Linked DNA regions of Rattus norvegicus. The main gene of each other region encodes a partner of the protein of the gene in region 2 in a complex. Links are inferred from orthologs where the notes say so. Each region holds a gene or a part of one and is shown on either strand. Other genes may lie near its edges.

Region 1 (4,447 bases), about 36 Mb from region 2:
GTGTAAGCATGCTAATGTGTATGCAGAGGGGGCGGGCTGCTGCTGTGTAGCCTAGCAGAGGAGAGTGGGTGGTGTGAAAGAACCCCACTCCCTTCCTAGTCTGCTCTCCCCACGCCTGCCTACCTTCTATAGCTCCCTCGAACTACAGAAAAATGGCTGCCATTGGTAAAGTGCCTTCTATGCTTTAGATTACACTAAGAGCTGGGGAAGTGTGTCTTATCTCGTGCCAGCTGCCTTTCTGTAGCACAGCCAAATTCTCACACTTGGTGTAAGGGCAGCAGAGGAGAGTTAAGAATGGCAGGTAACAGACAACAGGGTCAATGAGTCAGAGACCGGCCCAGGAGAGGCTATGACCACCCAGGCTGTGAATCACCACACTGTAGGCTTCCCTCCCTGGGGCCCTTCATCCTTCCACGGTCCCCAACATATTTCTGCTTCCTCCCTTGACCCCTCCCCACCCTCCCAGCGCATGCCTGCCCCAGTGTCTATTCATGCGCAGAGACCTTTTCAATCAAGCCACCTTTAATGAGATTTGCCTTATAAATTAAAACGTATCTGGCAAAGAACAAGAGTGAGGATCCATACTGGCCTCCCCAAAGTGTCCTCACTCTGACCAGTGGACCTCTCCCACAGGCCTAGTCAGTCCAGCAGCCTTGTTTCTTCTACTCCCACAACTTCCGGGGACTGGTCATCACTTGACTCCTCTGGTCCCCCGGCCCCTCCCACCCTCAGGTTTCTCTGATCTTCAGTGCCACCACCCCATGGACCTCCTATCAGCAACTGTCTCAGGTGGAACCCTCTGACTTGACCCCCACCCTGTCATTCCCTACTCTAGAGAGTCCACAGTCCCATCTCCCTGGGGTCCCACTTTTCTGGACCTGGCTGTACAGAGCTGTATCTGAGCCTTTGCTGCCACTGCCAGCTGTGGTACCAGATTCAGGAAGGATCAAGCCCTGTGGCTTGGGGGCAGGGGTAGGCTTTGAGCTCCGAGGGGGTGGCACAGCGTAGTCGTCGGTGGCGGGGTTGTAAGGGAGCTCATAGCCCTCTTCCTTCAGCCGAGCCTGGCACCACCATGCATCCTTAGGCTCCTGAGGCAGATCATAAAGGCCCCGGAGAGGGGCAGGGGCCAGGCCCTCAGGCTCATCATAGATGGGGTCCTCTTTGGAGTCTATCAGCTTGGTTTTCAGCAACTGCTGCTGCACGTGCCCATACAAATCCCAATAGAGAGGTTTCTTCCGCTGCACCCCTTCCCCTGCCCCAGCAGGGGTGCTGCCCAGGGGGTCTGAATACAAAGAGTCCTGAGAAGGGCCTGGAGGAATTCGCAGGGAGTCTAAAGGCTCTGCATATAGGGCTGGAGGGCTGCCCAGGGGTTCCTGGGGAACAGGAGTGGGAGCCATCTTCCCCTCTGTCTCCCCATCATGGGAGTCAGTTCTGGTGATATCTTGTCCCTGTCCCACCTTTCCTTGGGCTTTCTGCTGCTGGATAGCAGCCTCAACTGCCTGAAAGATGTCATTTCCCTGGGCAGTCTGGAAGGTGAAGGTCCCAGGGCCAGAGGGGCAGCGGCGACCCGCTTCAAAGGAGAACATTACCTGAGGGTGTGGAGGGAAACAGGTTAGGAGTGTCTAAAGAAATGAGTCACAGGTCTGACCAATTTAGTATATCTGCACAGAAGAGACTACCTGGGAATGGAGTTGTCACCTACAGCTACCCAACCCAGTAGCCCTCCCCGATGGTCATCCTCCCAGACAGCCCCATGCACCTTGTCTCGGCCATAGCGTCGCAACAGAGTGTAGGGCCAGAAAAGGAGCGGCTCCAGGATTTGACTCTGTGCACCCAAAGTCAGAAGGGTCAGCTTCTCAGCTTCTACCCTCAGTACGTAGGAGCCTTGCAAGCCGCAGCGTTCAGAAGCCTCGGTCTTCTGCGAGGTTACCCAGAATTGGGATCCTGGAAGAACACAGGAAGAGAAGGAGCGCCGGGGCAGGTTGGGGACTTGGTAGACTCCAATCACTATCTCCCCAAGGGCACCTCTTCACCCCACTCCATTTCTGCCAGACTAATACCTTCCCAGGTGGGGCTGTACAGCGAATTCTCCAGCATCTCCAGGGCAGAAAACTTAGGTGGGTTCTCCGTCTGAGCCAAAGCCCAGCCGCCTTTCTGCAGAAAAGAGAACATCGAGGACCATATACATAATTCTCTTGGGTCTAGGGTAGGTGCAAGAAGTCCAATGCCGTTATAGTAGTTTCATCCTCGCAGTGCCCCTTAGGCCCAGGGGTGACCACCCCCAGACACTCACCGGAAAAGCGGTTCTGCATAAAATCTGCACCCAGGCAGTGCTGGATGCGGCGTCCGCTGCAAGCAGGTGCGAGCGTTGTGCGGTGTCCAGGCGGAAGGCAGAGGCGCCGGGCTCAGGGGGACTCTCCACAGTCACAGGCACCACGCTCACACATTCAGCCAGGCGTATCATCTTGCAGTCTAGACGGCGAGAGCCGCCTCGACCCCCTCCAGAGCTCGACCCCTTGTGATCAAAGAATTCCAGCCGCGCCACGCCGTGAGGGCTGGCTGGGTAAAGCACAGCCCAAGTTTTCTTCCACCTCTGGGAAAGAACGAAAGACTCGAGAGTGAGCGGCAGCATGCGCCCTACAAGGGAGAAGAGACCCACGCAGGCCGATCTGAGTCTGGGGATTCCCAGGCTGGGCTACTTTCCCAAAGATAATGCCATCCCAAATCCGCACCAAGGAGGGCACAGCCCGAGACTTTCAAGGGAACGAACGTCTTAGGGGCTCTACGATTGCTCGCGCGCCGTTCCGACCTTCTTCCGGCCCATTCCCTCTTTCTGGATTCTTTCACCCATTTCTAGTCCAGGGGAGTTTTGCCATCCCCCCACGACACAAACAAACTACCTTGGTCCCGAAGCGCTGACTCTGCAGAAAAAGCGGACCCTCCATCAAAGCCCCGTCCATGGCCAAGGCGATTCCTTCCGCGCTTCCTGGCCCTGGGGGCGGGGCTGGGCGGGGCTGCAGGGTGCCGGAGGCGTGTCCGCCCCTCCCGGGCCCCTGCGGCGGTGATGCGGGGAGGGGGGGCGGGGACGGAGGGGTCGAAGGAAAACGAGCCGTCAGGAAGAACCCAAGGGGAGCCTTTATCTCACCGCACGCACAGTGGCACTACTCAGGGAAGTCGCGGTCACCAACTAAAGGCCCTAGTGCCTGGGGGTGGAAGCTGGGAGTGACGACATATATTTAACGTGACATCAGAGTGAAGGCCGTGACATCACCTGCAGGGACTTTGGGGTCGCCATAATGACCAAGAGGGCCCTCAGGACATTAGTTTTCTTTGTGGGACCTTGTTCCCATGGTCCAGCTCTGGAATTGGACTGGTCTGTTGATACTCTGTCTAGCTGGAGATGTGGAGAAACGGCTACGGGCTGAAAAGCTTCCTGCGGCCACAGGGGCCATCCTGCTGTCCCGAAACCATTTGCAAGTCCAGCATCCTGAACGCCGCTGCCTGGCCTCCCAACCTGCGGGAAAAGAAAGCTTCATTGAGCCCGGAGGAGTGGGAGGGGGTGGCGTGGCTGCAGCCAGCTCCACAGGGGAGGGGAAGATCTAGAGGAGGGAACTGGCCTGGCCCGAATGGAGGGAGAAAGCGGAATGTGGGAGGGCTCTAGAGGACGTAGGAGGGACCAACGAAGAGGGGGGAGGAAGGGGGGGTCCAGTCTCCCCTGGCCGAACACTTTTTTTCTGAGAAGTCCTGAAAGTAATCTCCAGGACCAGGACTCTGCTTCCAGCCTCTGGAGTTCTGCCTAGTCGAAGGTAGGGGAGTTACAGCCGGCCAGCGGGAAGAGGAGTTGTGGATGGAGAGGATGGTGGACCAGGGGAAAGGCTGATTTGGGATGGAGTCGGGGAAGCCAACCAACTGACAGTTTTATTCTTGCTAAAGGAGCGAAACAGCAAAGCAGAGAGCTGAGCGGATTGTTGGGGATGGAGACTTCAGGGTGCAGTTTGTAGGCCCTAAGCTGAACACCGGGCTTCGGAGCCAAATGCCCCCAGAACAAAGCTGTCTTGTCTGAGTTGGGGGAAGCAATTCAGGGCCCCCCTTACTGGGAAGGACTGTTTTCAGCCTTGGATACAGAAGGCCTGAGCTAAGGAGCTAGCCCTAGCTTCTGGTTGCCCAGTGACAGAAAGAGAGGTGTTACAGGGAGCTTGGATAACTCCACACCAAACCCTGCCCAGCTTGAAGTCTAGATCTCCTGGAGCCCCTGACTCTGCAGCATATTTGGGAGCCCATGTGCTAGGGAGGGTGGCAGAAGGTTCTCCTGCTCTGCTTAGCCTCAGCCCTTTCTGCCTGGGCATCTGCCTCCATAGGAAATTGCCAAGACTCCTCTCATTCCTAGTGCTGAGATCTCCAGGACAGGTCTCCTAGGCTCCCTTTTCCTGTGCTGCCATCGGAGTCT
Region 2 (3,802 bases):
AGTATCTTTACTGTTTTGTTTGCTTGTGTCAGCCTAGTCTAGCCTTGAATTCGTGATCTTCTTCCCTTTTTTCCCCCCGAGTGCTGGAATTAGAGGAATGAGTCACAGTACCAACTCTCCATGTTTTACATTAGGGAAATCAGGCTGAATGGTTGAGTCATGGGGCTTCTGTGGGTATAGCTTTTGGGCACCAGGCTAACTCTGGAGCAGACGTGTGGAGCGTGTGTGTGCCTCTGCCCTTGTTTACATGATATGGCCTTGCTATGCAGCCTCCCGGTGCTATCTGGGTTACAGAGAGCTCTGGTGGCTTAGTCTAGAAGCCTGCTGCAGATCCAGCTACAGCCAGAGGAGGAACCACACACTAGGATCAAGAGAGGCAAAGAGCACATGTAGGAAGAACTTCTCCAGCCCTGTGTGAGGGCTGGGTGTCATTCACGTAGGCCTGGGAAAGGTAGGGCCCCCTAGCCACCTAAGGCCACTTCATAGCCACTTCAAACTGCCAGGGGTCCATGGCCACTGGGTGCTCCCACAGGTGTCTGCATCACAGTCCCTCCACCCAAACCTGTGGCTTTCTCTATTCATAGCGCTTGTCTCCATAACACTGTCCTAGCTGTTCCCAGAGCACCCTGGCTTCCAAATCCCGAACAGATAACCAGGGTGCTGAAGGGGCAGGGTCTTCCCGAATGTGAGGGCAGACACATACATGGCAACCACAGAGAAGACATGACCATGATAGGGAGGCCTCAGTGGTAGTCCGGTCTTGAGCAGCACCCACGGAAAGGTTTGTCCATCTCAAGAGTGGCTGGGGCTTTCTTCTGGGCGCCCAGTGCCTCCCCCTTCCATGTTGGGGTATCTACCCTATATACTCCTGCTACCCTGGACCTCTGGGTCAGCACTTCTTTATGATCCCCACACACTCTGCCCCATCCCCATCCCACCCCTCTTCTCAATGGGTAAGCCTATTGTAGGGCTATAGAACATGGGCCTCTTCCACTGTTCCTACTCTTGACATAAAACACTTGCTGGGTGGGCATGAGTGTATGCATGCCTGTGTGTGGGTAGAAATTACTGGTCCTCTCTCTCGGGGCTTCTGCTCACACCTCCCCTGCTAGGTAGGACCACGCTCACTTTCACCAGGACCTCAAGGCCCACATCTCAGACCCCAGCCAGTCCTATCTGAATCAGCACCTGTCACTTCCTTCCTAGACAGTCTGCCTTCACAGCCCTGGAAGGCAAGCAACCCCCTGCTCTTGCCCTTATGCGACGGGGATCTACGTAAGGCTATATCAACCATCTGTGGGCACCCCAAGTAGTAAAGAAAGCCTCTGTGGCCATGTTTCCTCCAACACTGTCCACCTACCTCTTGGGGCCCCTTACCGGGATCTTGAAAGAGTCCACAGAGACCTGGTTCTCCATGGAGTCCAGTGAGGGCCGGCGGGTGCCCGAGGAAGAATAGCTGATTGGGAAGCCCTGGGCCGGCCGGCAGAAGGTCATTTCGGCTGACGCGATGGGTGGCTTGTGCGCATGCTTGTGGTAGCGGTGGATGCAGAAGGTGGACAGCAGGACAGAGATTATGAAGGAGAAGAGGACAGCGGCTGTGATGACCGTACGGCACAGCTCATCGCACAATGGGCCTGTGGCAGGGCAGAGTGACAGGGACTGCACTGTGACCGTCTGAGATGCTACTGACTGGGTACAGGCACCGCTGTACCAATTCTCCTACTGTCAAACCTCTCACAGTACAAACAGTGGTGTGAAGACTGCACTCAACACCAGCTATCCTGTTTTCCTGTTGCAAATGTCTGAATAGTCAGTATAGAAAGGTAGGACAAAGAAAGAAAGGATCACAGGCTTTGGACAGGGAGGTCCTAGAGTGAGCCAAATTCCAGGACACTTCCATAATACCAGAGGCTAAGCAAGACCCTGTCCGGGAAATCTGACCAAGTTACTTGGAAGGACTGCTTTCCTGAGCATCCTTTATTGAGAATTGTGGCTAGGATATGCTTTATAGGGATTCTGACCCCGATTCATGGTGGTGCCAATGGTAAAATGGGCCCAAAGGGAAGGAGCAGCCTCCTGGGGTCTAACTGCCTCCCCATAGTCTCTTCCCTTGCTGAACCACACAAATGTTGCTCAGAGCTTCCTTGAGGGTTTGAGGAAGTCAGAGAGCCCTGTGAGAGGTGCTCCTTACCCTGGCTGTCCTCTGGCTCGCAGAAGCACTTCTTCTCATCAGGGAAACAGTTGCAGATGCCATAGCCGGCTTTAATCCCCTGGCGCTCCCCTCGCTCATGCCCGCCAACAATGGGGCCACCTGAGGACATATGTGGAATATTCAGTCTCCTGGTGTGGCCTGATGCCTCAGAGTCCTCGGACTGTGATTAGCCTTCCCAACTCGGGGTCAGTCGCTTAGGCCCAGTGAAGGCAGTAGGCTCGGAAGCCCCTTTCACCTGGGCAGAGTTTAACACAATACCCCTATACTGGCTATGGAAGTAGGGGGGAGCCAAGATTGTTTAGAATCACTGCTGAGGTCCCGGAAGGCATCAACCACAGCTAGCCCCCAGTAACAGTAAAGATGGAGGAAATGGACCAGAGACAACGTGGGTCCTGAGCCAGCAGGCCGGGGACTGCAGCTTCATGAGTCAGTCAAGGATAGACAGGCCAGGCTGCACAAGCCCCGTCCTGGGGGAGCACAGCCAGCATTCAAATGAGATGGTAGCAGGACTGGCTTGGCACATCCTGCTTGGTTGAACCTACTACTATTACACACTGTTCTTCTTTGGTGCTAAGGTGAAGCCATGGCCCTACATATGCTAAGCTCGTGCAATACCCCCAGCTGGCCTGAAGCATCCTATAGACACTTGAGGCTCCAGCCTGGGTTCAGGTGTAGGTTAGGGCTTCCAAGCTCTCCGCTGCCAGCTCCCTTGCCTTGACCCTTCCCTGCACACTGGTAAAATGCATCACCCTGGGCCTAGCCTGGGCTTACGGAGACAGTCCTGGGGGCAAATGTTGATATCCCGGCTCTCCAGAGCATCACAGTGGCCATCAGGACAGGTCCTGGTGCTAGGAGAACAGGTGGAGAAGTTCCTGGTGATCCCTGTGATGGAGTACAAAACAGGCTGTCACCCTGCATGGGCATATCCCTCCATGGTCTGCCTTTGTCATGGTCCAACCTTGCCTCTCTAGGGACAGCGAGATGAAGGGACAAGTTGAGTAACGCCACATACACCTCAGACACCAGCAAGGAATGACAAGGGGTCCCCCAAGGGCTGAAGTGCCGGGCATTCTAGGACTGCAGATAGCCTTCCTCTAAGGAAGCCACTTAAAGGCAAGGATCTGTCAAAGCTATATTGGCCACAAGCACCTTAAAGCGGGAGGTGAACCTGTAGTGAGGCAGAAACACTTTCTGGCTGGGACTTTCTGGAAGAACCACTCTGTCCCCTGTCGGTCCCAGCTCTGGTATAGTGGTCCCCAGAGTGAATCTAATTGAGGTGGCACAAGCCCTGCCTCCTCTGCTGGCACTGGTTCCACAGGAGGGACAGGCTTAGAAGACAGGGATCAGGGAAGCTAAATGAGGGACTAGCAGACCTTGTACGAACTCACTCCTGACGGCAGCCAGGATGGCCCCTACCCAGCTCTCCTCCCCCATCCTCCTCCCCAGCCCCATCCCACCCCCTGCCAGCTCCCGAACCTACCTTTACCATCTCCCTGACGCCACTCACATCTGCCAGTTGGAGAACCCAGGCCACCACACTCCTCACACTCAGGTCGCCTCTTGTTTACTGCACAGGACTTGGGGCAGCCC

What was found.
Region 1: the proteins of Ret (region 2) and Dok1 are in contact, whole or in part, in a crystal structure (PDB 1UEF), measured with the Mus musculus proteins. The link is inferred for Rattus norvegicus from reciprocal best matches to the Homo sapiens genes RET and DOK1. Residues at the interface, in NP_033076.2 of Mus musculus: Thr1056, Trp1057, Ile1058, Glu1059, Asn1060, Leu1062, Tyr1063; in NP_034200.4 of Mus musculus: Tyr203, Thr204, Leu205, Leu206, Arg207, Arg208, Tyr209, Gly210, Arg211, Asp212, Ser217, Phe218, Glu219, Gly221, Arg222, Arg223, Thr230, Phe242, Glu246, Ile249, Gln252.

Annotation. Positions count from the first base shown.
Region 1 is NC_086022.1:117,094,667-117,099,113, forward strand, and holds Dok1 (docking protein 1), read right to left. Parts: upstream 2,969-4,447; 5' UTR 2,961-2,968; coding exon 2,901-2,960; intron 2,882-2,900; exon of another isoform or gene 2,733-2,881; intron 2,638-2,732; exon of another isoform or gene 2,633-2,637; coding exon of another isoform or gene 2,594-2,632; coding exon 2,294-2,593; intron 2,155-2,293; coding exon 2,061-2,154; intron 1,945-2,060; coding exon 1,760-1,944; intron 1,590-1,759; coding exon 786-1,589; 3' UTR 505-785; downstream 1-504. UniProt on the Homo sapiens protein: DOK proteins are enzymatically inert adaptor or scaffolding proteins. They provide a docking platform for the assembly of multimolecular signaling complexes. DOK1 appears to be a negative regulator of the insulin signaling pathway.
Region 2 is NC_086022.1:153,016,403-153,020,204, forward strand, and holds part of Ret (proto-oncogene tyrosine-protein kinase receptor Ret isoform a precursor), read right to left. Parts: coding exon 3,693-3,802; intron 3,095-3,692; coding exon 2,984-3,094; intron 2,312-2,983; coding exon 2,192-2,311; intron 1,635-2,191; coding exon 1,378-1,634; intron 1-1,377. UniProt on the Homo sapiens protein: Receptor tyrosine-protein kinase involved in numerous cellular mechanisms including cell proliferation, neuronal navigation, cell migration, and cell differentiation in response to glia cell line-derived growth family factors (GDNF, NRTN, ARTN, PSPN and GDF15).